Ovis aries: one gene and its partners. The protein of the gene in region 6 interacts with the protein of the main gene of each other region in a pairwise test. Links are inferred from orthologs where the notes say so. Each region holds a gene or a part of one and is shown on either strand. Other genes may lie near its edges.

Region 1 (3,630 bases), on a different chromosome or scaffold from region 6:
GCCCTCAAAGAGGTCTCCTCTTCTCCACCCATACTGGTTGCTCTCTATTCAACACCCCGTTTATCTCTTGTTTATTGGTTTACTTATTTTTTTCATTTCCCCCACTAAACTATAATCTCTGGGCAGGCCAGGCCCCCTACTTCTTAGCATGGTGCCATTCAGTAAGTGTAAGTGTATGAACCAGCACTTAACAAAGCTCCTTAAATGTTTGAAGAATGAAAAAACACATGGCTGACACTGTTCTGAATGTAGGACCTACTCCCTACTCTTGTGATCTTCTGTCCTTTGATAACTGGGACCCACTCTGTTGCTTTTCCAAAAATTTAGTCATTTGAATACCACTGCCAATATTTACTGTAGTTATAGTAGTATATTTTTATTTACTTTAACAGATTTAGTCAATAAAGGAATATGTTTCTCACATTGGAGTATCAGCAGTAGAGAAAGAAAAATTATTAAAAAGTCAATACACTGATATGTTAAAAGATGACTAAAGAGTTGAGGTGATAAGCTAAAGAAAAATAAAGCGGGAAAGTGAAAAGAGATTGCAGGGAAATACACTATTCTGTTGGAGAAGAAAATGGCCACCCACTCTAGTATTGCCTGCAAAATCCCATGGACAGAGGAACCTGGCAGGCTACAGTCCATGAGGTTGCAGAGTCAGACACGACTGAGCAACTAACACACACACATGCTGTTTTATTTAGTATTTTTTGTCTTATATAAAATAATATATATTATTTTATAATAGAATGGAATAAAATAATTATTCTAGGTAGATACTGTTGCCTGTTAAACCCCAAAGTCTGCTAGAGGTTAGCATTACTAAACAAGGCCTAACTTCTAGTACCAAATAAAACAGTACAAAAAATTGAAAAGAGATTAACATAATATCTTGGCAGTGTAACCTCCTACAATCTCATATATTGGGCCTATGGTTTACAAAACACTGCACTAAATTATTTTGGTTTTTCATTTAAGTTTTTTCAGTCTCTTGCTAATTCCATTACCCAAAATGAAAGATGGAACTCAATAGTGCTTTTTTCCTTCTTCAGGAAGTGTTTTAGATCACAGCTTGGAAAGCCTCATCCACCGCCTTCGTGGTTTATGTGACAACATGGAACCCGAGACTTTTGTTGACCACGAGATGGTATTCCTCCTTAAGGGCCAGCAGGCCAGTCCATTTGTTCTAAGGGCCCGACGCTCTCTGGATAGGGCAGGGGCACCCTGGCATCTTCGCTACCTGGGACAGCCAGAGATGGGAGACAAGAACCGCCATGCCCTGGTGCGTAACTGCGTAGACATTGCAACATCTGAGAACCTCACTGACTTCCTCATGGAAATGGGCTTTCGCATGGACCACGAGTTTGTTGCCAGGGGACACTTGTTCCGGAAAGGCATCATGAAGATCGTGGTATACAAGATCTTCCGCATCCTGGTGCCAGGGAACACAGACAACACTGAGGCCTTGTCACTGTCCTATCTCGTGGAACTAAGCGTTGTTGCACCAGCTGGGCAGGACATGGTCTCTGATGACATGAGGAACTTTGCAGAGCAGCTGAAACCTCTGGTTCACCTCGAGAAAATAGACCCCAAAAGGCTCATGTGACTAAGACAATCTGTCCACTGGGGCTTGCCCTCAGCTGTTACAAGAAAAGATGTTATAATTGCCCCATTTCACCACTGCCAGCCATGCATTCTTCCCTCAGGATGGAAGCCAGTGAGAACTCAGTTGTTTTTGCACTGATTTCCTCATATGGCCAGTTCACTTTTGTGACAGGCTTTCTATCTTATTTTTTTTTTTTTTTTTCTATCTTAAATGCTAAGAATAACGTGGAGAATCTAGATCATCCTTCTGCAGGAAGAAGGGAAATTGGACTAAAGTAGCTTTCGGGAAGAAAACTTTTTATGTATAAGGTTTGTAAAATAGAGACCAAGTTTGTATTGTGCAGTAATAAAAGCGTAAGGAGAAATGTCTCCCATTCTGATTCTTTACCGTACTACCCTACTAATTTGGGATGGACTCATCACCAACTGGAGCAAATATATGACAGTGTTTTGTTTAAATTTGGTAGATGATAGATAGCTTTTACCTTTTGTACGGGTAGCACGTGTTTGTTGTGGAAAAAAATTAAATACAGACACAAATAAGGAAGATAATGTATAATCCTGTTATTTAAAGAGATGTGCTGGGTTTTGTGTGTTTTTTGGTGTGCCTCATGCATGGCATGCAGGAACTTAGTTCCCAAACCAGGGCTCAAACCCACGCCCCCTGTAGTAGAAGTTTCCTAACCACTGGACCACCAGGGACGTCCTGAGATGTACAGTTTCTATTCTGTTTTATATCCTTCTAGGCTTTATTTTTAGAAATGTATATATATGAGGTATATTTTAGAAAAATATTGTGTATGTACTGGCTTATAATCATTTTTTAAAATCAGTAACATTTTTCTAGGATATTAGGCTACAGTGTTCCTCTGCTTAAAAAAAAAGTTTCTATTGAGTTCTTATTATGTGTCAGTGTTATCCTAAGTGCTTTAGGTATGTTTATTAACTTAACCCTCACAACGACCCGTATTTTGCAGGGAAACTGAGGTGCAAAAAGAGTAATTAGCTTTCCCTGAGCAATTCAGCTACAAATGAGCAGAGCTTGTATTTAAATGTTGATAATTGTAATCATTATTTGTATCCTATCATTAGGATTTTCCAAAACGTAACTGTTTCCTCTACTTTGGGATTTTTAGTTAGATCCCATGTTTTTGCTTTTATAAACTATCCGGTGTCGCTAGTACTTTTAATTAGATATTTTTTGTCATGTGTGATCATTCTTCAGGATAAATTCTAGGGAACTGCTGGGTCAGAGAGTATGCACTGTTTTAAGTCTTCTGCCATGTATTGCCAAATGCCTTCCAGAAATGTTTCAATTTTCACTCCTACCAGTTGTAAATGAGGTTCCAACACAGCTGCCAAAACTGGGTGTGACCACGATAACACATTTTTCCCGTTTGATGTGAAGTGGTGACTGGTTTTAATTAAAAAAAAAAAAAAAACCACGATCAGTGAGACTTAAATTTTTGTGTTTATTGGACATTTTTTCCTTACATGAATTTCCTTTTCTTCATTGTTCATCTTTATTTGTGAAGAGCTTTTATATAATTTTCCATTTATCACTTGACTTAATGAATTTTTTAAAACAGTTCTAAGTGAGATAAATGTGGGTTATTTTAATCCCTGTAGAGTTTTTAATACACTGGAGACAGTTTGGCTTGCTAAAAATTGTAGGTCACTCAAACTTTTCATTTTCTTCTGGAACCTTCCACTTAGATAACACCCCAGTTGACCAACATTTGACAAATCATAATTCTCGTTGGACCTCAGTTTACCACTTGAAAGATTATATGAATACTCAAGAAAACCTATCCAAAGTTGACTTAAATGGTAAGGATGATATTACCTGATTTAAGGGTAAAATCAAGAATAGGATAACTTCCAAGTTGGTTAGGTGGTTATTTCTCAGGTGCAAGGAGATCCAACCAGTCCATTCTAAAGGAGATCAGCCCTGGGATTTCTTTGGAAGGAATGATGCTAAAGCTGAAACTCCAGTACTTTGGCCACCTCATGGGAAGAGTT
Region 2 (4,102 bases), on a different chromosome or scaffold from region 6:
TGAAGCTCCAATACCCTGGCCACCTGATGCAAACAGCCAACTCACTGGAAAAGACCCTGGTGCTGGGAAAGATTGAAGGCAGAAGGAGAAGATGCCAACAGAGGATGAGATGGTTGGATGGCATCACCAATACAATGGACATCAACTTGGGTAAACTCCAGGAGATGGTGAGGGACAGGGAAGCCTGGTGTGCTATAGTCCATGCGGTTATGAAGAGTCGGACACAACTTGGAGACTGAACAACAACAATTATAATGCAAGAGAAAATAAAATGTGGCCTGACCTTTTTTCAGATGCTCCTAACATAGAGAATTTTGGGGAAGTTCAAGGCAGCATTTGCAGTCATCTAACATGTTAGCCCAAAAGAGTCAGGAAGCGCCCACGTACCGGCTGCTTTCTTCTTGTCCATGCCCTTCCCCACACAGTTCAGGGCCGCCGTGACCACTGTGGGCTCTGAGAAGCCCAGCACCCTCTTCACTGTCTTCTCTATCCATGGTTTCAGTTCATCCAGCTCCCTCTTGGACAGCGCCATTGTTTGGGAAAAGGAGGATAGCTCAAAACAGGATTCAATACTGCACCTAAAAAGAAATCAGTAGTTAGAAGACAGGAAAAGACTAAAAGGACCCCAGGCAATGATTAATATATCAGGAATGCTTTCCCCACTGCTATTCTCAATCCTGGGCAAGTTCCTCTAACTTCATTTCAAGCCAAATACTCTCAACTTATACTTCAAAACAGAAAGAACTACATTCTGTTTTTTAACCCTAACTCAGTAATATCATCAGCTAATCAATGAAATCTGTGGAATAAACAAACAACCCTTGGGAAGAACCTAGTCTGAGAAATGAGTTCCAGCTTCTTTTCTGATTATCATATTCAACAAGGACTGTCAAACATATAACATGAAAACAAGACTGAAAAAGCCCACTCACAGGCCAACGTTTCTATTCTTCCTACTTCCAGGCAGGCATTCCTTAACCCAGGGCTTCTTTTAAGGGACACAAATAAGAGATGGCTTATCTGGGTTACATCTTACATTAAAGCTCCTAATCCTCAAGACTGTTCTGTCACATTTCTCTGTATTCATTGTGATCCCAGTGGGAATTCTGTACCCAGATCCTTTTCTTTTGTTCTACAGGGTCTCCGTCATAAATAATCCCTCAGTTCAGAAAAGGTTACCCTCATGCACTGTGGTGACCTGAATGGGAAGGAAGTCCAAAAGGGAGGGGATATATGTATATGTATGGCTGATTCATTCTGCTGTACAGTAGGAACTAACACAACACTGTAAAGCAACTATACTCCAATAAAAATTAATTTAAAAAAAGATTACCCTCATTTTGGATGTACTCTTTTCACCTTTATTCGTCTACTTTTTAGCTTAATAGAGTAACCATCATACAAGACTCTACAACAATCTGTTATTTAATGCAAATTGGTACAATTCTTAAACTTTATTCATGTTTACAGTCTTATCTCCTACTGAAATCTCAAAACTCTACATGAGCAGAAAGAAAATTTTATTTCTATAATTTTCTCCATATTGTCTAAAAGACAATAAATTAGACTGACCTCAATTCCAAGTTAACCTCCTCCCAGAAGTGCCACACATCAGGGTTCGATCTGGGTGTCAATTTTTCAAGATGTTTTAAGACATCTTTTCCCTAAAAGGTACAGCTTGATTAACTTCTAATTGTTGGCAGGTTTATCCTCCAGAAGACCTATTGCTAAATACTGTATGTAATTTTGGTATAACCATATGAAACTAGTAGCTTAAAGTCATGAAACTAGGGGTGTAGTATTTTGTGCCTCAGTGACATGTAATATGAATAAATCTGCAGTGGCTCTATTTACCCATCAGGAGATAGCAGGATAGCCTATCAATCTCAACATGTTAACTGTGCATTGCTCAAAAGAAGCACATTCAGACACCATAGAGTGAAGAGCTCACACGCACCTCTAACATTTACCAGCCTTCTGACAAGTAATTCCTCTGAGCCTCAGTTCACTCATCCTACAAAATGAGGACAACTGTCATTCTTATAAGGCACTTAATTCATTCAATAGATATTTACTGCAAACCTAGTAAGTTTCAGGCAGCCTACTGAGTGCTGAGGATACACACAACGGTGAACAAGACAGGAATTCTTGCCTTAACAGAACTTATGTTCCACTGGAACTGAATCATAGGCTAGAAAGGGTAAACAATTTGAAAATCCAGAGTTACAAATGGGGCATCACTCTATTAGATGAAAGGTGTGCCCAAGCACTATACTAACAAATGTACATAACTTCAACCCATTTCTCCATAAGATAACGTGCAAACTAAACAGCCAATAGGCAAAATAAAAGTTCCAAACAGTAATGAGCTTTGTCACTAATCAATTGTTCAACAGTAACTGCGTGGGGTAGGGGTGGGGTGTGGTTCTGGTGTGGAAGGAGAGGAAGGCAGAATGATCTTTGAATGAGCAGGGAACAGAATTTAATCTTCTGAAGGATTTCCTTTCTCTGTGTTCTTTGCTACAAGTCGAATTTCATCCCTGAAACTCCCATTCGTTTCTTTTTTGCTCTTTCCGTCTCTCTAACCAGCCCCCTACTCACCTGTTCTACCCCAACTCCTCATCTCAGGGCTAGTCCCCTCAGCTCGTCCCTTTCCCGCCCCCGCCCTTTCCCTCTCAACAACCTCATTCCAACCCGTTCTCCCACAGAACCTTGTTCTTTTCTCAGCTTCCTTTCCGCTGAACCTTCCCGTCTCTGTCCTTCTCTCGAACTGAACCCTACCCCAATCACTAGGACAACAGGACACCCTCTCCGGGCCCCGGGCCACTACTCACCTCACAAACTTCAGCCCCTGAGACGGAGCCCGAACGTTACACCGGAACCGGAAACCCTCTGGCCGCCCTCTGGCCTGCCGTCTCTACCGCCAAGGCCGCCGCCACGCCGCGGTCCCACAACGCGTGACGAGGGAGGGTGGGGCCGCCGGTTCGCGCAGCCGTAGTGGCTACTTTCCCCCCAAAGAGGGAGCGCATGCGTAGCGGAGCCCTAAAGTTTAACATTTGCTAGTTCCTCGCCTCATTGGTTTCCCCAGGTAAAGGTGTGCAAACGTTAGTGTTACCTGAAGCATAAATTGGGCTGCCTGTAGTATTCCTTCCAGGCTTCCCTGGTAGCTCAGACGGTAAAGCGTCTGCCTGCAATGCAGGAGACCTGGGTTTGATCCCTGGATGGGGAACATCCCCTGGAGAAGGAAATGACAACCCACTCCAATACTCTTGCCTGGAAAATTCCATGGATGGAAGAGCCTGATAGGCTGCAGCCATGGGATCGCAAAGAGTCGGACACGACTGAGCACCTGCACTTTCACGGGTAGTATTCCTAGTGTGGCGAATAAGTGCACTACGGTTATGCTAGAACTAAAAGCAGGGCTTCTGCTTTGGGGCTAAACCTGGACTTTCTAAAACAAAGTAAACCCTCCGAGAGTTGTGATCCCTAGCATCCCCTCCTTAGCTTTTGTCCCTAACTTAACAGTGGTGTCAGAGATCACTCAGGAAAAGCGAGTATAGGATTCTGAAGATGGTAGCCCCTCCCCCCTTTTAGTGTTTTTTTTTTCCCCCTTCCATTCTTTCTCAGAACAAATAATGACTATCCATTACTATATGTCATGCATCCACTGAGATTCAGTATTACCTAATGATTTAAGCAAGAGCATGAGTTTTAAAGCCGTCTGTATTTATATTCCAGCTCTCCCACTCATTAGCTGTGACATTAGGCAAGTTCCTTAAGCTGTTTCCTCACCTGTAAAAGAAAAAAAAAAAAAATCCACCTCATAGGGTTGCTGTGAAGACCACAGAGTGACACTACTTCTCAGAGAGTTCAGTAAAGCTGCTTGGTATATAACTATACATGTAGAGGTCCTAAACTTACATGACGAAGTCTAAACTCTTGATTCTAACCTCCACCATCCACCCCAAACCAGCTCCCAACAGAGTCTCCCTCATCTCACTTAATGGCCACTATATTTTTACAGGTGATGAAAAATTGAAATTATAATGGAGTAATCATAGTTAAAAAACCTTCATGACCCAGATAATCACGATGCTGTGAT
Region 3 (4,375 bases), on a different chromosome or scaffold from region 6:
TTCTCCTTAATCCTTTCACCTATACAAATACACATACTTCCCTACTTCTGACACTAATGGTGGCCTCTTCTCACTGATTCTATCCTGTACTTTCCACATTTAATTTATCTTGAGGCTGTATTTTAATTAACAACACACTCCAACAGTGGCCATTTACAACTTCTTACCGCCAGATGTAAGCTATCTTTACAAAGACACTTAAAAGGGGGAGGGGAAATCCTTAAAATCAATCAAGATTCTTAGTAAACACAAAAATATGAAATAAACTTTGGTAAAATGAAGATTTACATAGATGACATGAGGAAATACTTAATTATACCAGCCACTCAAATACTGCATTTACATACATAAAAAGGAAACATGTGGACTGTACTTCAACGTACTGAAAATAATCAACATAATACACCTATAGAATTGGACTTAAGTATCAATGAAATAAAATATATTGGTGAAAATAAAGCTATTTATTGGTTATAAATTCCAATATTAAATTATCTGTAATTAGTTGAATTACATTTCCTAAATGTTCTTTCTGGAAGAAGTTTCATTCCAGATTTATACAGACACTGTTCTTAAAAAAATAATTTTCCTGTTTGGATTTTGTTTTCTTCCTCTGAAACACTACATCACTTACTTGAAACAAGGTTTCATCATTCATTGCTCATATATAAAAAGCTGTATTATTTTAACAATATGCATTACTAGAGCAATACAAGATTTCTTTTAAACTTCAAGTAGTAAGAATATCATGGTGAAAAGTCACTTCACATAATGCAGAGACTATACGAATTACTTATACTTTTAAGTAATAGAAAATAAAGCATTAAAGTCTTATACTAAGTTTCAGGCTTGTACAACCGTACTACAGAAGAAATGTTCTAGGCTACTGGCAATAATACTAGCTGCAAACTTTCATTAGGAAGATATATGTCAAGTATCCTGGAAAATCTTTTCTTACTAAAGAAAAATTTAGAATCACTGTCTCACTATATATCACAGTGCAGGTATTTATGATTCTTTTTCTGCACTGTACCACAAAAACACAAAGTCATCCTTCCATTCAGAGTTTTGGCACTTGAACAAATACAGAGGTCAGAGTTTATACACATGCTCTGTAAAACCAATCATTACTTATATACTATTATATTCAATAAATCTGCTAGGATTTGGCATTTTTAAATAATTTTAAAGAATCTTCTCCACGTCTATCTGTAAAGACACAAAATCACTTCAGATTCAGTGGCACAAATAAAGTTCAAGTGCTTGCTATCAGACTTGTCAATAACTCATCACATACTTAGAATGCTGAATTTCACAAATAAGAGAAAAGCACAAATAGCAATAATATATTCGATAACGATATTTGACATCTTGAAAATAACCATTCAGTATTTTTAATCTTTGTTGAGTCCAAGGAGGAAAAACAAACTAGCATTCCTGTTGATTATGGGTGTGAAAAATGTACTATACTTTCATAATTTTGAGTCAAATTACCGAAACATTTAAAATATATTAACAAATGTGGCCAATATCAGCGTACCTAAAATTTCTACAGGACTGAAGAGTAGTAGCTTGAGACAAAAATTTTTCATCATTTCAGATATATGTTGGAATAAACCTACTTAATAAAGAAACATAACAATGTATTAATCCGAAATCTCATGTTTTTAAGTAGGACACTTTTTCAAAAGTAAGAACTAACTATGGGGACATCATAATGAAGTTTCATGGCACAAATGGCACAACACAACAGTGTCACAGAGGCATTGTCTTAGGACAGACTCTCTCATCTATAACTTGTAAACAGTATTTTGAAATAAGCTACTCATACACTCCACTATTTTTTCCTTATCTTAGCTAAAAATATTTAAACGTATTTAATATACCGAACGTGCCTTTACCTAGTCAAAAAGCTTCAGATGTCAATCGAAAAAGACGCCTAGAATGTCGGAGTAAGTGGAAATGAGATAATAGTCTAATACGGAATTAATTTTCTATCTCTGGTGAAAATTCCCTTATCGCCCACTCAAATAAGCTAGTACCCCATTATGTCTTCTCTTTTCTCCCAACACCCAACCGAGAGGGAGTTAACTCCGAACATCCTTCTCTCATCAATCACTCCTTCGGTAAGGAAAGGAGGGTGGCAGCCAGACCGGCCATAACCCAGAATACCCTGAAAAGTGTGGGCCTTTGAGCGACGCGGCTCTCCGGATCCAGTTACCACCTTTCCCCTTCCCCCAACCCACTTCCCGGGTTTTCTCAGGCTCGGCCTGCTACCTCCCCACCCTACAGCCACACTTCCAGCTGTTGCCACTGCCGTGGGGCGCTCTCTAGAGCTCACACCCGACGATAAGCGCCCTTTCTCCATCTGCCCCTTAAACCTTATTCCTCCCCAGACCCCCCGCCCGCGAGACCGTCCATCCCAGGGCCCGGGGAGGGGAGGGGAAGGCGGCGGAAGGAGGGGGGAGACTGCTGCTTCCCCACAGGCAGAAGGGCGGCCGCAAAGAAGGCCAACCGGGGGTTACCAGGGATATTGGGATTGCCACCGGAAGGGCCCTCCCGCCCTGGGCTGATGTGGGGGACGTCCGGGAGTTCATTTCTGACCTCCTCGCTCTTCAGCACCTCCTTGAACTCCCGCTTGATTCGCTGCACCGCGATGTTGGCCATGTCTCCGCCCGCAGCTGATTCGTACCCGCCTCCTCCGCCACCGCTACGACCACCGCCACCGCCGCCACCTCTTCCTCCACCGCCTCCTCCCCCGGCGATTCACACCCGAGCACACGAACGCTGCCACTGCCACCCCGGCCGCCGCACTATCTTCAGTGTGGAATCACCTCCGCGCCCGGCCACCAAAATGGCGCCGGGTCCGCGCATGCGCACGACGCTGACCCGGCCCGGCGGCGCAGCCGCTCCCGTTGTAGCCCCATACGCCTTAGCCGCGAACCTGCGCCGCGCTGTGCGGCGCGTCTCTGCCTGAGCTGCGGCCGCGTGGCTCCGCCCTGTCGGCGTCTGGAGCCAGGAGGGTGCGGCTTCCGCGCGGGCCAGGGCTTCCCGGGCCTCACGGGTCGTCTCCGGCGCCTCCGCCCCTGTATGAACGTAGGTGGTACGGTGGAGGCTTCCAGACCTTCGCCTCTAGCCGAAGGTTCGAGTCCAACCTGACGGGTTCACGCGGCCCCTCTAAGCTTGGAGCGCCGCCCTGACTCAGCCAGACCACGGGCTTAATGTATCCGGCTGTGTCTAGTGTCGGAAAACACTGTCCGGGAACTCGGTCTGGCCCATTTTCTGTTGGTTCTGAAAAGCCACTGCGGTTCGTTTTTGTCCTGCAGCCGTTACAGTTCTATTACTGCAGTCATCCCAGGATCTTTCCAGGTACAACAAATCATTAAATTAAGTATGGTCATTGTTGTATCTCAGTTGTAATTGAGACCGGGTCTCAGTGGAGATGCCTGAGATGAGTTTAGAAGCCAGATGTTGATCTTTGGCCTACTTAGATAATAACAAGCCGTGGAACTAAAACCATAGCTTTAAAACTTGAATGTACATCAGGATCCCTGGAGAGCTTAAGAAAAAACAAAAGAGTGTAAGGTGGGCCTAATTTGCATTTTTAGCAAGTTCCCAGGTGCTGCTGGTTCAGAGACCACAGTATGAAAACCACTGAACTAAGATATGTTCAGTAACTGAATATATAGGGAAAACTGGAGAAACCTATCCCTCTTGGGGGGGAAGGGCAGCTTTACTTCTGTAAGCCTAGAGTAACAGTGGCTAGTGCTAGTAGGCACTCAATGAATATTGAATGAATAAATGAGTAAAGAGTAAATGTTTTAAGTGAGAAGTAAATTTGAAAGGCAATTGAAAAGTGGTTTAGGGCTTCCAGTAATATGGTTTTGATACTAAGGGATGCTTTGAGTAGAAAACATTTTGTAATAAATATTTATTTAGAAGTTTATATTTCATGCATTTCTTTCACCTAACTAATCAGTAAAGCATCCTGTTAGGAAAATATCACGAATACACCGTCTTAGCAAAAATTACCAAAATTGTGGCAGTAAAAAAAAATAAGCCCCTGGGTATGAGTCATTCAGTGGAGGCACATGGCAAGAAAAGAATTTCTTGAACTGCCGCAGGAACCAAGAGGGGATTTTAAATTCCAGCCCCCTTCCATACCAGCTCTCTCTCTTCAACCTTGGTTTCCTCTTCTGCAAGATAAGGAAGCTGGATGAGATGATCTCCTCCAAGTTTTAAGAGTTTAGAATTCTAAAGCATCTGGAAACATTCCCCTAAACGGAAGAACTATAAAAACCCTTCCAGCAGAGCCCCCTAGTGGTCCTAAGGCGAACCAACTATACATGTGGGCCATGGCACAATAAAATGGTAT
Region 4 (4,103 bases), on a different chromosome or scaffold from region 6:
TTAAGAGACTTAAGATTCAGAGGGAAAGGGAAAGTACAGTACCTCAAATGGCCAAAAAAATTTTTTAAGTCATTTTACTAAGTCTGCTGATATTCAGAAAGTGAAGCCATCCTAAAATGATGATGTTTGCACAACACTGTGGATGTAATTAAATCTGTCATGAAAATCTTAAATCTGTCATGAAAAACATTGGGAAACTGTTTTACTCCATGCTGAAAAAAATTTTTTCATAGCCCAATATGTCCAGATTAAAACCACTACTGTATATCTGAAAAGTGAAGGATCTATGCCAACACCCTTAGGAAAAAGTCTCTCCCTCCCAAACAAAAATCTACTATAATAAGCTAGTAACTATTTAACAAGTTAACCTGAAACACTCACCTGGGCTAATTCCTTTAAACCACAATTAACTCTTTAACTTTCATGACAATAATGGAGAATAAAGGCCTCCACAAATTAAATTCTAGAAATAATCCTTTTATCCCACACAGCTCACTCCTTCACCCCAGTTACATCAGGGTCATGCCTTCTCTCCAAAATTATAACCAAGGTTTCACGACTGTTTTTCTAAACTTTACTCTGAAAAGGTAAAGCATAGCTTAAAATCCAGGGAACTCAGTTCTCAAAGAAGCTGACACTATAACTATCTATCTAGGTACCACTGATAATAATAAACTACCAAAAGCTAATACTTCTTGCTTTTAAAAGCCCATGCTAATAACGTCTGGCTGGTCACAAGTCACACCACCAAAAGGCCTTAAAACCATAAATTAGTTCAAGTGCACTACCAACAAGAGAAAAATGTTGAATTAGAATGTTAAAATGAGTGTGAAAAAACTTAAACTACCTATAACAAGCACACCATCTATACTTAGCAAAAAGTAATACTACTTGTATAGTTCGGTACCATTAATGATCACCTCACCCACAGGATTTTGACCCTCAATTTGATCTTAACCCAAGGTTATTTTAAATCATGCCCCCTTTTATCTTCCTGCTTTGTTTTTACTGCAAATCTCATTGTTAACGTGCCACTGAGTAATTATGCTATGACTTGAAATGCACTACCAAGTACCGCTTTCCATGGGCAATTTTTTTTCAAGATGCTTTGCTGAGCTCTCAGTTTGCCCAGGATTTAGTCATACAGGATGCCCATACATTTTAATGAAGTAGCATGGCTAAACATCATGTAATCAGGACATTTACAAGTCAAAAGTTAGGTGTATGTGGAGTTTAATGACAGGCAAGCAACTGGTCCAAATGCTAGCATGTTAAGAAAAAGTTGTAAACCCACCCACCCAAACGATTTAGTTTAGGAACTTACACCCCACATTTCTGTGACATCTAACATAAGGCTGGAACAAAACCAACACTGTCATCTTTGCTATTCCTAAAAGCTGTTTCTTCTTTAACTAAAACATTCTGTCCTCTACACAAGGTATAGAATGGGCCCAGCAAGAGATCATATAACTAAAAGTAGAATTAACTGGATTACTCTTCTCGTATACTACAACATTGATTGCATTAAAATAACTCTCCTCAGCAAACATATTTACAATAAAGTACAAGTGCGTTCCGTGTCACAGAAACTTTTAAAGTACGGATCCTACTGGGGTAACAGCATTTGTACTTTTATCCTACATTATTTTCCTTTACGTAAGATGGATAGGAATTTGACTAGCCCACCCCGACAGTGCACTGGCCCAATAACCCCAGGCTGGAGCAAGAAGCCACGTTTTACTCCGGCAGACCATTTCCCCACCCCTCGTTAAAATAATGCCTGTGGCCACTTGAGACTTCCCCAGCCGAGTTCCAGAAACTTGCAGGTTTAAATGGCCAAATTGGAACCAACCAGGGCAGCTGTCATCTGAAACTCAGGAAAGCGGAGACCAGCCAACTCTGCTGAACAAGGCCGGGTTCGGAGAGATGTGGCGGGGCCCGTCGGAGGGAATGCATTAGGCTCCCCTCCCCCACCCCCCCCCCCCCCCCCCATCAGTTCGCTTTCCTGCAACCCCAGCGCCGCCATCCTGTTCCTGAATAATTAAACGGGCTGGAGAGGGAGCGAGGGAGCCAGAGGCAGTTTCTGGTCGAGTTTCCCCAGCCGAGGCGGTGGGGTCGAGAGGCCGTGGGCTACCTTCCTGGAGCGCGGAGTGCTTTTCTGGGACGGGGGTGGGGGAGTCAGGGAAAAAAGGGGGCGACCCGGCGGCCGGCCGGAAGCGGAGCGCGGGGAGTGACGTGGAAGAGGGGATGACAAAGGGGCGCGGGGGCCCCGGCCGCGAGGCCCGCAGGGGCCGGGACAGGTGGCCAGGCCCGGCCGGGAACAATGGGGGGCCGAGGCTGCCCCCTGGCGCTCACCTACCTCCGGTGCCCTCCGAGTTCTCGTTGAGGCTGCCCGAGGAGTCGTGCTGGGCGCCCACACACCCGCCCATGGGGGCCCCCGGCGCCTCGTCCGCCACCTCCGGGCGCTCGTCCGGGCCCGCCGCCGCCTCCGCTTCCTCAGGCGCCGCCGCCGCCGCCGCCGAGCTCCGGACCAGCGCTCCGCTCCGCTCGCTCGCCGCGGCCCAGCCTCCGCCCCCCTCTCCGCTCCACCCACCGCCTTGGCTCGGCCCCTTCCTCCGCGCCCACTTCTACCTCAGTCCCCGGGCCGCCCGCCCAGCAGGCCTGGCCCGCGCGCCGCCCTCGCCTCCGGCTCGGCCCCGCCAGGCTGGGGCTGGCCCATCCCGGGCGGGCCGCGGCGCCCACCTCACGCCTTCACAGCCCCGCGCTCCCGCGTGCAGGCGAGCCCCGCGCCGGCGCCCCGCGGCCGCCAGACCCCATCGGCCCCCGCCCCGCGGCGCCGCCCTCCGCATCTAGGCCTGGGCTCCGCGGGGCCCTCCCGGAAAGGCCGGGGGGCGGGGCCGTGGGAGGCCGCGCGCTGATTGGCTGCGGGCGGGGCCGCGGGCGGAGGGGCGGGGCAGGAGGCGGGGAGGCGCGGAGGGGATGCGAGGCGGGCGGGAGGGGGCCCCCGAACCCGAGGGAACGAGGCGGCTGGGGTTCCGTCCCCGGGAAGAGGCCGAGAAAGCGGGCGTGGAGGAGGGAGAGGGAGAGACGGGAATGAGCAGAGAGAGCGATGGAGGGGGAGAGAGCAGGACAGACGGAGTAAAAGTGAATAGGAAAAGTGGAAAGGGGAGAAATCGAGTTTCTGACTCCTCCTCCGGCGTCCCCTCCTTCTGGTAGAAGCGGGTCGGGAGCGGGCGGGGGTGGCGCACGGAGGAGTAGTGATGGAAGGCTCGCGGGCGGGGTCCCACGTACCCGGCGGAGGGGTGCTCCTGGCTGAAGATTGAAGTGCACCTTGTGGATTTGTGTAGAGTCCAGTGGGTTGCTATCCCAAGTCCTGGCTTCTTGCCTGCCCCATCCCCCTGCCCCCCTGCAATCTCTGTGCCCCATTACTAGACGTAGAGGCGGGTCTTTGTGGTTGCAAACTGGACTGAGATTACAGAGGCAGGGCATCCGGGGCTGCGAGAGAGAAGCGTGGACCGTAGTTCAGGGGGGCGTGGGTTTGTTTCCTTCTCACAGGATTATTCAGACACAATGCTACTTCTCAAGATCCTGCCTTTAAGGGCCCTAAATCGTCCTTAGAACAAAATTAAATATAAATAAGTAAAATACCCCGCTTTTTCTAAACTAGAATTTGGTACACTGACCACGCCCGACATTCTTGGCCGTTGCTCTCCCAGTCTGAAGCCAAACTGTTAATGGTCCCTTTAGAATTGTGCTTCTCGCCAGGATGCCTTAAAATTTTTTATCACCTGGCTTGGGTCTTTCTAAAGCTTACTTCTGCCTAAGAGCTGTTTTAACTATCTGCTCCATTTTTATAATCAGATTTCTTTTTTTAACGTCCTGGGTCAGCTTTTGCTTAGCATTAAAGAAAAATTTTCAAGTAAAATACCTAGGAAAGTGGCTCTATGCAGCTTGGAATTTGCATTTAAATATATTTTCATACACTGCTGGTGGGAGTGTAAATTGGTTCAGTCTTTTTGCAAAGCAATTTGGATTGCAGATCAAGAGACTTAAAAATGTTCATACCCTTTGACTCAGGATGGGAATGTAGCTCACAGAAACAG
Region 5 (4,146 bases), on a different chromosome or scaffold from region 6:
GCCTGCAATCCTTCCCAGCATGCTTTTACTCAAAGATAAATCCTTACTACATGCATAAAATTTTAGAAATTTACTTTTCCAATGTAAAAATAAAATAAGCCAAAACACAATACTCGGTAATTCCCCAATGTAAAATTTCTTTGCCTTTTATTTTAAAACATACTTATGTTTTCATGAAAAGCTTGTACTATGCATGCCTTAATATTTTGGGTTGTTCAAAATCCAGTTGTTTTGTCACACAAAATCCAACTATTTTGTTACACAATTCAATAGTTAATTTCAAAAGTAGAATAGTTGAAAATGCCTATTAAAATTTTTTTAAAAGGTTATTCTTGAGATAAAATGGCTGTAAAATTTCAAACATTGAGAAAAAGACCAGAAGTTTATTGTGGTCTTCCTGTTTATTTGGTTAATTACACTGCTTCTCTCACATTTGCCATTTAGTAAATGAGGCTCATGAAGTTTACATCCAGTAGTGAAATAAAGATTACTGTCCATAAAGCATCAGAGAACTGCTGCCAACATTAATATGCTTAATAAATCAGAATAAATAACAAATCATATCATACAATGAAAATAGTATCAAAGTCCAGAATTACCTAAAGGTTTGTCCTTTAGTTCTGGATTGGAGATCATTTCTACTTGTGCATAAAAGCAATCCAGATCCACGTGTACTATGACTCTACATGAAGAACTTCCTGCTGGTTCCAGCTCATCATGAACTGTGGCACAATATGCAACCAAATGAAAAAAACACATTCAGCCTGTTTATCACCTCTGAGCAACTGCCAGTCCCTTAAAACATGGCAACCAACAAAGAATATAGAGTGATTTTTAAGTTTTTTTCCCCTGGATTTATTACATGTCTCAAAGAATCTAAAACTTACAAGGATATGAAAGAAACTCCACCTACAAGAGAGTCCTCAGGCCTGTTTACTATTTCTTGGTGTATTGCATTTTTCTCAGGATAGTAATAAATTTTAAGGGAAAAAAACCTTTTATCAATAATGGAAGACGCAAGAGGTAATCCTAGGACTTTGAAGTTTATAGGAAAACTTAAAGTAAGTTGGAAAGGGCTGAAAAGTTTGTAAACACAAATCTTCCAACCAACTTAAAAATTATCCTTCCCTGGTGGCTCCTTGTAAGATTTAACCTGCCAACGCAGGAAACTGAAGTGACTTAGCAGCAGCAGCAGGAGACATGGGATCAAACCCCAGGTGGGAAAGATCCCCTGGAGGAGGAAATGGCAACCAGCTCCAGCATTCTTGACTGGAGAATTCCATGCACAGAGGAGCCTGGTGGGCTACAGTCCATTCCATGCAATCACAGAAGAGTCAGACATGACTTAGCGACTAAACAACAACAAAAAATTATTCTAAGTGGCATGTCCTTAAAAAAACAGCCTGAAACACAAAACAGAAGGCAGAATCTATGGGTCCCAGTGGACTATATTTAGCTCCCAAGAGATCAGGATTATTTGGTTCAATGCTGAATAGCCGATACCTAGACTACCAATGGCAACCCACTCCAGTACTCTTGCCTGAAAAATCTCATGGATGGAGGAGCCTGGTAGGCTTCAGTCCGTGGGGTCGCTGAGTCGGACACGACTGAGCAACTTCACTTTCACTTTTCACTTCCATGCTTTGGAGAAGGATATGGCAACCCACTCCAGTGTTCTTGCCTGGAGAATCCCAGGGACGGAGGGAGCCTGGTGGGCTGCCGTCTATGGGGTCGCACAGAGTCGGACACGACTGACGTGACTTAGCAGTAGCAGCAGACTACCAACAAATACTTGCTAAATTTAAAGACTGAGTAAATATTTCCTGGATTTTAAAAAGTAGTTCACATCTTGGTGGAGGGGTCAGAGGGATAAGACAGGAGATTTCAGCTATTAACAGCAGTTAAAAACAAGGCAGGCTAAAATGCCATGTGGTATCCTGGTTTGGAGTTTGGAACAGAAACAAATTAAATGGAAAAAAAAAAAAACCCTGGTAAAATCTGAATAAAGCTTGTCCTTCTGTTAAGAGTATCAATTACTATGCCAACGTTACTTTCTTTTGACAAATGTATCACGGTGACGTAAGCCATTAAAGTCGGTAAAAGTTATCTGTGCATCTCTCTGTAAATCTGCAAGTATTTAATATTTTTAAAGCTTTTTAAAAACGAAGGGCTGGGAGACTGGGAAGGAGAGAGAGCCTTGGCCCCAAACCCCGGGGGTTGGGCCCCGAGGCTGGAAGCGGATCAGCAGAGAGGCGGCCACTTGCAGACCCGGCCGGGTTCGGTTCCGAGCCGGGCGGTCCCTTCCGGGCTGAGGCCGGGCCGCAACCGCTACCAAGTGAGCGACAAGGTTCCCGCTTCCGCAGCCCTGAGGCCCCCGAGGCCCCTTCCGCTTTCGCGGGGCTGTTTGAGGGGAGACGAGCGCAGCCTCCATCACCCCACTGGACGCGCCCGGCCTTCCCCTTCTGGGCGAAGCCGCCCCTCTCGGGGACCGTGGCCTCAGAACACCAAGCGGCGAAGGGCCGCCCTCTCGGCGGAGCCGGGAACACGCCAGGACGCGGGCGGGGAGGGGACGGTCGCTCTCCAACGGCCGCCGCCGCCGCCGCCCGGGGCGCCCGCCCTCGTCGCCCCGCCCCGCCTGCTCATTTACACCAAGGGAGGTCGTCGGGCTCGTCAGGCTCCAGCGCCCCGGGCCAGCCGCCGGGCGCCCCCGCCTCCGCCCGCTCCATGGCCCGAGTCGAGTCCGCTTCCTCGTCGTCGTCGCCGCCGCCTGCCTCCTGGGGCTCCACCCCCCGCTTCTCCATTCCCCCGCGGCGACCGCCCACCGAAAGGCAGCTTCCGGCCGCGGCCGCCCGCGCTCCGCGGGGAGCAGCGGGGCTCGCACCTGCGCAGTGTGCGCTTAGCCGCGGGCTACCTTGATGGTCGCAAGGGCTGCAAATCCTCCTGACTTGCCTCTGGGACTTCTCTCCAGCGTAGCCTTGAAGGAGGGTTTACCATCCCAAACAGCTCTTCCCAGCCCCCGCATGCGGTCTTCGGAGTTACGTTCTTATCACAAGTTTTAAATGTTTATTTTTATGTAGAAGGCAGCTTGTTCTCCCGGTCAACTGTTAGAAATGCTAACCCGGAGATGCTGAAATTTTATGGTGATGGGGGTGGGGGAATCGATGGAAATTATGGTGAGAGCCAGGCGACCTTGTAAACTGATTGTGTTAGTTGCTCAATCGTGTCCGACTCTTCGCAATCCCATGGACTGTAGCCCACCAGGCTCCTCTGTCCATGGGATTCTCCGGGCAAGAATACTGGAATGGGTTGCCATTTCCTTCTCCAACTAATACGATTAGCTAGTATGTTAAAATTGCGTTTTGTTGTTTGACTCAAAGATACTGTGACACTGCTGTATTTAAAGTGGAAAACTTAACGAGGACCTACAGTATAACACAGGGAACTCTGCTCACTGTTAAGTGGCAGCCTGGATGGGAGGAGAGTTTGGGAGAGAACATGTGTATAGGTGTGGCTGAGTCCCTTCACTGTTCACCTAAAACTATCGCAACATTGGTAATTGTCTGTGTGTCTGTGTGCTAAGTCCCTTCAGCCAGCTGACTCTTTGCCACCCTATGAACTGTAGCTGGCCAGGCTCCTCTATCCATGTGATTCTCAGACAAGAATATTGGAGTGTTTGCCAGTTCCTTCTCCAGGGGATCTTCCCAACCCAGGGATCAAACCCACATCTCTTAGGTCTTGTGTGCATGGGCAGGCAGCACTCAGTTCAGTTCAGCTTGGTCAGTTGAATCCCACTTTTTGCCACCCCATGGACTGCAGCACACCAGGCTTCCCTGTCCTTCACCACTCCTGGAGCTTGCTCAAACTCATGTCCATAAAGTCAGTGATGCCATCCAACCATCTCATCTTCTCTTGTCCCCATCTCCTCCTGCCTTCCATATTTCCCAGCTGCTGCTGCTGCTAAGTCACTTCAGTTGTGTCCGACTCTGTGTGACCCCATAGACGGCAGCCCACCAGGCTCCCCCGTCCCTGGGATTCTCCAGGCAAGAACACTGGAGTGGGTTGCCATTTCCTTCTCCAATGCATGAAAGTGAAAAGTGAAAGTGAAGTTGCTCAGTCGTGTCTGACTCTTCGCGACCCCATGGACTG
Region 6 (3,577 bases):
TGTTTCCTGAGTAAGTATTAATGAGACTCCCTTTCATTCTCAAGAGGAGACCAGTTTTCGGCAAATTATTTAACCTCTCTGGGTCCCTATTTAGAAAAATGTGGGACTAAGAGGAGACCAGTTTTTGGCAAATTATTTAACCTCTCTGGGTCCCTATTTATAGAGCAGATGACACCTGAGGCTCCTCACTTTGAGTTCTGCGACTCAGAGTGAGATTAGAAGCCAGGTAAAGGAGTGGATGTGGATACAGGCATGAAAAGTGACAACAGGGATAACTGAAGTCCAGATAAAGTAGGACCTAAAGACTTCCGTCTCTCTGTTGATTTCCTTTGCTAGTTTCCTTTTGGGAACAACTCACCAATTAGCTGTTTAAGGATTTTCCTTAGTGCAAAGTACTGTCGGGGGAAATTGCTGAAGTTCTTTTCCAGCTCTATGGATACTGAAGTCACCTCCATGGTCTTCACCTTCTCACATCTAGGAGGGATGGGGAGATAGGGGAAGAAAGGGCAGGGTCAGGGGAAGCTCCAGCTTAGTCACTATTCAGATGCTGTCATCTTTAGGGAGAAACTAAAATTATTCATCCTCGTACTTTCTCCTCTCTCAAGACAAGTACTCACTGCTTTCTTTTGCCTATCTATGGAAAGAGAGATGGTCCCCTGGACAAATCCTTAAGAATGAGTTTTAGAACTTTCTGGAGGTACTGTTATATTTCATGCAAAGAGATACCACCCCTACTCCCCAACCCATTCCTCCTTCCATCTTGTTTGGACATGATTCCACCCACGGGCCCAGGCAGAATCTGGTTCTATTACATTATGCTGGTATCTACCCTACCAAGGAAGTCCTGATGCTCAAAGGGTAAAGGGGAACAGACTAGTACTCCCAATCATTTGTTCTGTAATTGGCTTCATGGATGCAAAAACCCTTCTCCCTTTTTCTACCCAAACACTGCATGACTTTCCCATTCTTACTCCCCCAGCTCCCTATTGCAGCCCTAGTCTTTAAGCCAAGACCTAACTCACTCGAAGAGATACAAGAATCACTTACTTTTCCAGGGTACTTTTGACATCCTAGAGGAAGGAGAAAAGAAAGCAATATTGGTCCTGGTAGTCAAGGGCCCTATAGGCAAAAGGTTCCCCTCCTCCCCAAAGTTCTAGAACTATTAAACAGGCACAGGACAAACTAAGGGTCACAGTGCAAAGGGGACTAACTCCAGAGGGATCTGAGTACATCTTTCCCAACCTAACCCCCACCTTCAGCTCTCAGTCATCATGAAACTTGGTAACTGATGTCACTTCCAAATAGTTTCCTGTGTGTTTGTCTTTGTTCCTCAAGAACACCGGGACCTCAATGCCAGGGATAGGATTGTGTCTGCTCTTTGCTCTGTCCCCCAAGTACCAACCACACACCTGCCTCCTTGAGAATCAGTAGAGATAGTTCTAGACTGCTGGCATAGGAATGAATCACTCTCTCCCATTGTGGTTTGGTATCCCTTGTCTAGTATTGGTTAATAAATATTTATAAGTGCGTGCCAATCCTGATTTGTGAATACTTGGGGTCCAGAAGACAAAGAAGACAAATCTCTGCCCCGCCAAGGATTTCCCAGTTTAATGTGGAAGGCAGAACACACATACATGAAAGGACATGAGAATAAATACCAAGCAATATATAACATGCAGATAAATATACAACGAAGCCTCGCTGATTCAAATGCTGGTAATGTGATCTCTAAGATAAGAAATATGTTTCCTGGAATCTTGCTAACACCATTCATTTGCTTAAGAAAACAGACTATTTCAAACATTTTAGAGGCACTATTTACATATCAAAAGCAGCATGTTACTATACATTATTTCAAGTGTCATCACACTATATTTCTATTCTTTTTGAGCACTAGGTAAGTCAAGTTCCAGGACTTAAAAGTAACGGTTACTGCATTTTACACAATTTTTAATGCATAGATTTTTCACTAATTTAGACTAGACTGCCCTCTTCTCAAAAAATTGAGTTTTTTCTTTGGTACAAATTAAGCACATAATTGTTGACAAGACATAAGAACACAGAAGTGATCAAAAGGGATGTGAGAAATCAGAGAAGCCTTTCTGTAGAGAAAGATCCTTTGAGCATGTCTGGAAGAAAGAACTGGATTTAGAGAGGCAGAGTGGAGGAGTGAGCATTGCAGGCTGACAGAATGACCTGTGCAAAGCTAGACTGCGCTCGGCCTGAGTGGCTATGCAGGGGCAAAGGTCGAACCTTAAGCATCTCGAAGCCCGACTGTAAGCACTTGCCCTCCACCTCAGCAGCCAAGTGGGCGAGGTCCCGGCGCTTGTCTCCAAGGTGAGCAGCATTTTCTCGGAGGCGCTGTAGAATGTCCTGTTCCTCTTCCTCCAGCCGTGAAAGTAACACCTGCTGCTCTTCATCCAGGCGCCGGTGAAGCTCTTCAAATTCCTTTAGGATCTGCTGTCGGCGACTCTCCACTAGTCTCTGAGAACAGAGGGTGGGTGTTATGTTTCACAGGGTCAGTGGGGCATAGGATACCTTTCCTCATGCACCATGTGTATGAATTCAGACTTCAAGTGCCATTGGAGAGAGTTTAAAAGGACACTCATGTTGCTCTCCATTGATATTTCCTTCTGTAAAGAATGGCTCCATCCCCATTAGCACCCTTACTGATAACTTGGGATGAAGATCATTGAGATAAAAAAATAAACCAATGCTGAAAAAATTATTTTATTTACTAAATTAACTTCTAAAAAAGCTATACTTTTATGTTTTAGAAAAAAAAAATTCAAGACATAAGAACTCAATAATATGACAAGTAGTATTACAGAGATACGGCTGTAATAATAGGACAAGTACTGATAGCAGAGATACCTCTGCTATTTCCTACTCTAAGTTCTAGCTAACGCAAATTGTGAAGAAAAGGAAAGCACAGATACTCGAAAGTTAGAGATTGTCATCATTTGTACACTGCAAGACATCTACCTGATAAAAACCAGAGATGGAAAAACTGGAAAAATATCAGAATCAGTAAGATTTTAGTAATGGACTGTTATAAAATATAAATTTAGATTTTGGGGCTGAGCCTGCTAAACAGTTTCAAGTCACTTCAGAGACTGACAGTTTACACCCCAGGAATGGGTTATAGATGTGAAAAAATAAAAGGGGCATTGGGTCTGGAGGTGGGGATGAGGGAGAGGGAGGAAAGATAATTCAAAAGGTCACTGAAGGAAAGTTGGTGATTGGTGACAGTTTCTGAGACCACTGAAATGATAATTTACATTAAAAAAAAAAACCCACACCACAGTTCTATTCAAGCATTTAGCAGGTTTTTAAACTTTTTATTTCCTTCTCCGTCCTTTATCCTTAAGAATGTGATCAATAGGAAGAGGAAAGCTAATGATTAGGAATAAGCTTCATTTTCACAGATTTTTAGTGTTTCAAGACAATAACTTTTTTAAGTTTACCTTTGCAATCAAAATTAGTTCAACTTTTTAAAAATTCAAATGTTTCTTTTTAAAATGCATAAAGGACTAAGGTAATAATACTTGCTTCCTATTGAAATGTTGTCATTGTT
Region 7 (4,249 bases), on a different chromosome or scaffold from region 6:
ATTGGAACAACTTTAATGGCAGATGGTCTTGAAAGTGGGTAAAAATTTACCTATGAAATAATGTGGGCCTGGAGCAATTTTTAAAGAAGTAGCTCTCTGATAACTTTGTTCTGGCTTTAAAATTTACTTTGAAAATGAAGATAACCCAAAGGTACATCTGTGATTACTTACTTTTCTCCTACCTAATTTTGTATTCCTACATCACCGACTGGATGGACATGAGTTTGAGCAAGCTCCAGGAGTTGGTTATGGACAGAGAACCCTAGCAGCGCTACAGTCCATGGGGTCACAAAGAGTCAGACACGACTGAGGGACTGAACTGACCATTCCTTTTCCCCTATATTCAGTAGCATAGTTTAGTCTACTGTTTTGGTTTTCCCTTCCAAAGAGGCAGCTCTTATAATTTGACGGTTTTTTTCCTTTTCAGTATCAGTGTTACCTTTATTATGCCTGTTTTTCTTAGGTTTATTTCACTGTTTCCTTTTTAATATTCTGAAGTAAAATATATAATTTTTATTCTTTTTCAGTTATTCAAGATGTTAACTTTCTTATAAATTTGGCTTTGGCCACATCCCAAAGATATGAATACATATTAATCTCATTATACTATTTCCTAGATAATATGTAAGTGTATTTTAAATGCTCTCTTTGCTACAGTAAAGCATCCAGAGTTGGTTTTGTAGTTTTAGTTTTTGTCACCTGTTCATTATTTCAGTCAACCAGCAAATGTCTAGTGTCCTTCTAGTTTTACTGCATCATGGTCAAAGAATGTATTGTGTTCTACTTAACTTCCTGAAAAATACTACCAGTGTCTCTGTTTCAAAATCATCCATTTCTTCTCCACAGTTATTTCAAATATTTAAAAAGATAAATTCCACAAACAACTGTTTTTCTTCACAGCACACAGCATGGAAGACAAACCAGTTAACGCCACATATTCTCAAATTTAAAATTACACATGATTGTAAGATTCACCATTATTTCCTATGTTACTGAAGGAAACAAAAACTGCCATGCTGATAACAGCAATGTTATCCATTTTTTAACTGCTGCTAGCAGCAGTTAATGTTAAAGGGCGATTTTAAGCCATGAAAAATCATATCAATCTTCCTCTTTCACCAAAATCACCTAAAACAATGGCTTTCATCATCTTTTTGTTTTTCCTGAATTGCTTGTCTTGTCTTTCATATTTGTTACCTTTTGCAGATCAGGGACTCCATGATTCCCAAGGGATCTGAGTAAGATAAAGTGGCCCCTTCCTCCAGGACTATTTGATTAGGAAGGCAAGGACAGTTTTAAAAACAGCACATTTAATTTTATATTTGAAAAGTGAAAAAATAATTGATTTTATAAAATACATCCTGGCCCCTTTTTAATAAGCCAACAGTAAATGAAAGCATAATGAGAAGACTTATCAAAGGGTCAAACTTCTTTTTTTTAAGTTGAAAAAGGCCTGTAACTTCTGATAATCAACAACTGGCTCCCTGTCAATTTTTTCAGCTTCTTTCAAAGTTAACCAGAATACTACTACTTCACTACAGAAATTTTCCATATTTTAATTTTGCCCAAGCAAATATTTCAGTCAGTGAATACAGTGCAAATTAAATATGATCGGAAGTAAAGCTTCTATAGCCATTCATCTCCACAGAACCACTTACAGCAAGAAAACCTGCTTTTCTGAAAATAGGTTTTAAAGCCCATTGTTTCGTTTTTTCTAGTGCAAACGGCTAAAATACCAATTGAATAATATAGGAATCCATCCTCACACTCAAAATTTACTTATGCTCTCTTCGCATGAAAAAGTATTTACACTAAGGTATCATCAAGTTCTGTGTCTTTCAACTATACACTGTACAGCCTACCCAAAGTTCAATTAGTCCCATCACCATCGTCCTATCTGCTTACACAAATGTATTTAGGGAGAAATGCTTTCAATATTACTCTAGTTCTTCCACGGTACAGACGTCAACAAAAACTTATTCTGGAAAACACGTTAAAGATATTGGTAAAGTCTCTAGAAAATACACTTTTAAAACAAAACATGAGACACAGACTAACGAAATGGACAAATGTTGAGAGCAATTGATCTATAACTTACAAACATAAAAACCATATAGGCTTAAAGACAGTGGCAGAATGCGGTTCATGAGCAGAAACAAGCCTGACTCCCTCCTTTCCTTGGAGTAACAATCCACTCAACACAGAAGAATGATAAACGATTACTGATGCCAACCTACTTTACAAATATCAGGCGAGATCGAACCACAACTGTCCTGAGAAGCCAGCCTCACAGTTCTGAACTGTCACACTTCCCATACCTGTGTCCATCCCATATCCCAACCCTCGCCAGCCCCGCCTCTCCCCTGCCCCCAACCTCGGCCTAGCTAAACCAAAAATCAGAAGCTAAAACTCTCGAACCTTCCTCCTCCGGAGACGCAATCCCTCTTACCCTCCCCCGCCAAGAAATTCTCTACCACTCCAAAACCCGGCCAACGGGGCGCGGTGAGGAGAGTCGCCGAAGAAAAAGCACATCCCGCCTCCGGCCGCCGCCTCCCTGGAGCCTCCGCGGCGCTCCGGACAGGGGCCGAGATCCAGGCCAAAAGGAGTCGCAGGCCCCGTACACCCAGCACCTCCAAGAGCCAGGCCCGGAGAAAACGGAAGATCACTTACTAGTGGGAGCTCTGCCAAAAGTTCCCTGCCATGGAACACAGCTTGGCCTGATAAAAAAGCACCAGCCGGCGGAGCGGAGCGCGGAGCGACCATAGACCCAACCCTCCCGGTCACCGCGCTCCTTGATCTGATGGACTCGGCTCCGCTCCGCGGCGGCGACGGTGAGAGGAAGATAGCACCCTATTCTTCTTGACGCCGGCCGGCAACACTCTGCTGTACAAACCAGTTCCTACGCATGGAAGTTCCGGCCCGCCCCGCGGTAGCGGAGGAAAGAGGCGGGGAGGAGATAGCCCTTGCGCACACTGAAAAAGGAGTCGGGAACTGACTCTCACGAAGTCTCGCGGCAGTTGGGAGAGTATCGCGAGAGGTTTTCGTCATTTCCGGCCTAGAGCCCGCGCGGCTCGTGCGTCTGTGGGAGCTAGGATTCACGGAGAAGGGGTGGGATGGGGAAACCGTCCCTTGTTCGGGTTAACTTTACTCCCATCTTACAGGCTTCCAAAGCAGCACAGTGGCTTTGTATTAAACTATACGACTTCCTGACTTCTGTTCTTTCTCCTGTGTTTGGAAAGAGAAATAAAGTTAATTTTGGCTTCAAAGGGCTTCCCTTGTGGCTCAGCTGGTAACGGATCCAGCCGCAATGCGGGAGACCTGGGTTCGATCCCTGTGTTTGGAAGATCCCCTGGAGAAGGGAAAGGCTACCCACTCCAGTATTCTGGCCTGGAGAATTCTATGGACTGTATAATCCATGGGATCGCAAACAGTCGGACACGACTGAGCGACTTTGACACTTTCACTTGGCCTCAAAACCTAACAAGCCGAATAGGTTCTTAATGGAGTTCTTTTGGATTGAAGTGACTGCGAAACAATGCAAAAAGAGATTACGACAAATTACTAGAAGCTAGGAGATTCAGGTCCCTTCCTTCTGTGAACTTTCAGGCAGTTTACCAGAATGCCACATAGAAATACTTCCTGTGTACAACCTGGTTTCTGCTTCCTACCCAGAACTCCAGCGTCTAAATGCCCAGCATCCCTCAGTTTTCTCAGTGGCCCTGCAAGTCAGGAGCATCAGCTTAGGCTTCATTAGTTCAAAGGTAAATCATCTTTGAGGGACCCCATAAATGTAGGTTTAATTGAATTGGCTTGAACCAAAAACTAGTTTCCACTGTTTCCCCATCTATTTCCCATGAAGTGATGGGACCAGATGCCATGATCTTCGTTTTCTGAATGTTGAGCTTTAAGCCAACTTTTTCGCTCTTCTCTTTCACTTTCATCAAGAGGCTTTTTAGTTCCTCTTCACTTTCTGCCATAAGGGTGATGTCATCTGTATATCTGAGGTTATTGATATTTCTCCTGGCAATCTTGATTCCAGCTTATGCTTCTTCCAGCCCAGCGTTTCTCATGATGTACTCTGCATATAAGTTAAATAAGCAAGGTGACAATATACAGCCTTGACGTACTCCTTTCCCTATTTGGAACCAGTCTGTTGTTCCATGTCCAATTCTAGCTGTTGCTTCCTGACCTGCATATAGGTTTCTCAAGAGGCAGGTCAGGGGGCCTGGTATTCCCATCTCTTTCAGAA

What was found.
Region 1: the proteins of TRIM39 (region 6) and MED18 interact in binary tests that used the Homo sapiens proteins (3 or more experiments, as listed by UniProt). The two-hybrid records come from large-scale screens. The link is inferred for Ovis aries from reciprocal best matches to the Homo sapiens genes TRIM39 and MED18.
Region 2: the proteins of TRIM39 (region 6) and PRPF3 interact in binary tests that used the Homo sapiens proteins (3 or more experiments, as listed by UniProt). The two-hybrid records come from large-scale screens. The link is inferred for Ovis aries from reciprocal best matches to the Homo sapiens genes TRIM39 and PRPF3.
Region 3: the proteins of TRIM39 (region 6) and UBE2K interact in binary tests that used the Homo sapiens proteins (3 or more experiments, as listed by UniProt). The link is inferred for Ovis aries from reciprocal best matches to the Homo sapiens genes TRIM39 and UBE2K.
Region 4: the proteins of TRIM39 (region 6) and UBTD2 interact in a two-hybrid assay, tested with the Homo sapiens proteins (2 studies listed by BioGRID and IntAct). The link is inferred for Ovis aries from reciprocal best matches to the Homo sapiens genes TRIM39 and UBTD2.
Region 5: the proteins of TRIM39 (region 6) and POLI interact in binary tests that used the Homo sapiens proteins (3 or more experiments, as listed by UniProt). The two-hybrid records come from large-scale screens. The link is inferred for Ovis aries from reciprocal best matches to the Homo sapiens genes TRIM39 and POLI.
Region 7: the proteins of TRIM39 (region 6) and CCNC interact in binary tests that used the Homo sapiens proteins (3 or more experiments, as listed by UniProt). The two-hybrid records come from large-scale screens. The link is inferred for Ovis aries from reciprocal best matches to the Homo sapiens genes TRIM39 and CCNC.

Annotation. Positions count from the first base shown.
Region 1 is NC_056055.1:238,799,942-238,803,571, reverse strand, and holds the end of MED18 (mediator of RNA polymerase II transcription subunit 18), read left to right. Parts: intron 1-1,055; coding exon 1,056-1,609; 3' UTR 1,610-3,064; downstream 3,065-3,630. UniProt on the Homo sapiens protein: Component of the Mediator complex, a coactivator involved in the regulated transcription of nearly all RNA polymerase II-dependent genes.
Region 2 is NC_056054.1:100,392,534-100,396,635, reverse strand, and holds the start of PRPF3 (U4/U6 small nuclear ribonucleoprotein Prp3), read right to left. Parts: upstream 2,878-4,102; 5' UTR 2,712-2,877; intron 2,015-2,711; 5' UTR 1,967-2,014; coding exon 1,958-1,966; intron 1,665-1,957; coding exon 1,573-1,664; intron 579-1,572; coding exon 388-578; intron 1-387. UniProt on the Homo sapiens protein: Plays a role in pre-mRNA splicing as component of the U4/U6-U5 tri-snRNP complex that is involved in spliceosome assembly, and as component of the precatalytic spliceosome (spliceosome B complex).
Region 3 is NC_056059.1:59,505,174-59,509,548, reverse strand, and holds the start of UBE2K (ubiquitin-conjugating enzyme E2 K), read right to left. Parts: upstream 2,857-4,375; 5' UTR 2,668-2,856; coding exon 2,605-2,667; intron 1,619-2,604; exon of another isoform or gene 1,541-1,618; intron 1-1,540. UniProt on the Homo sapiens protein: Accepts ubiquitin from the E1 complex and catalyzes its covalent attachment to other proteins. In vitro, in the presence or in the absence of BRCA1-BARD1 E3 ubiquitin-protein ligase complex, catalyzes the synthesis of 'Lys-48'-linked polyubiquitin chains.
Region 4 is NC_056069.1:4,221,171-4,225,273, forward strand, and holds the start of UBTD2 (ubiquitin domain-containing protein 2), read right to left. Parts: upstream 2,852-4,103; 5' UTR 2,430-2,851; coding exon 2,360-2,429; intron 1,975-2,359; exon of another isoform or gene 1,853-1,974; intron 1-1,852.
Region 5 is NC_056076.1:54,026,596-54,030,741, reverse strand, and holds the start of POLI (DNA polymerase iota), read right to left. Parts: upstream 2,831-4,146; 5' UTR 2,802-2,830; coding exon 2,648-2,801; intron 723-2,647; coding exon 600-722; intron 1-599. UniProt on the Homo sapiens protein: Error-prone DNA polymerase specifically involved in DNA repair. Plays an important role in translesion synthesis, where the normal high-fidelity DNA polymerases cannot proceed and DNA synthesis stalls. Favors Hoogsteen base-pairing in the active site.
Region 6 is NC_056073.1:27,574,485-27,578,061, forward strand, and holds part of TRIM39 (E3 ubiquitin-protein ligase TRIM39), read right to left. Parts: intron 2,485-3,577; coding exon 2,254-2,484; intron 1,071-2,253; coding exon 1,048-1,070; intron 475-1,047; coding exon 359-474; intron 1-358.
Region 7 is NC_056061.1:37,531,178-37,535,426, reverse strand, and holds the start of CCNC (cyclin-C), read right to left. Parts: upstream 2,831-4,249; 5' UTR 2,703-2,830; coding exon 2,671-2,702; intron 1-2,670. UniProt on the Homo sapiens protein: Component of the Mediator complex, a coactivator involved in regulated gene transcription of nearly all RNA polymerase II-dependent genes.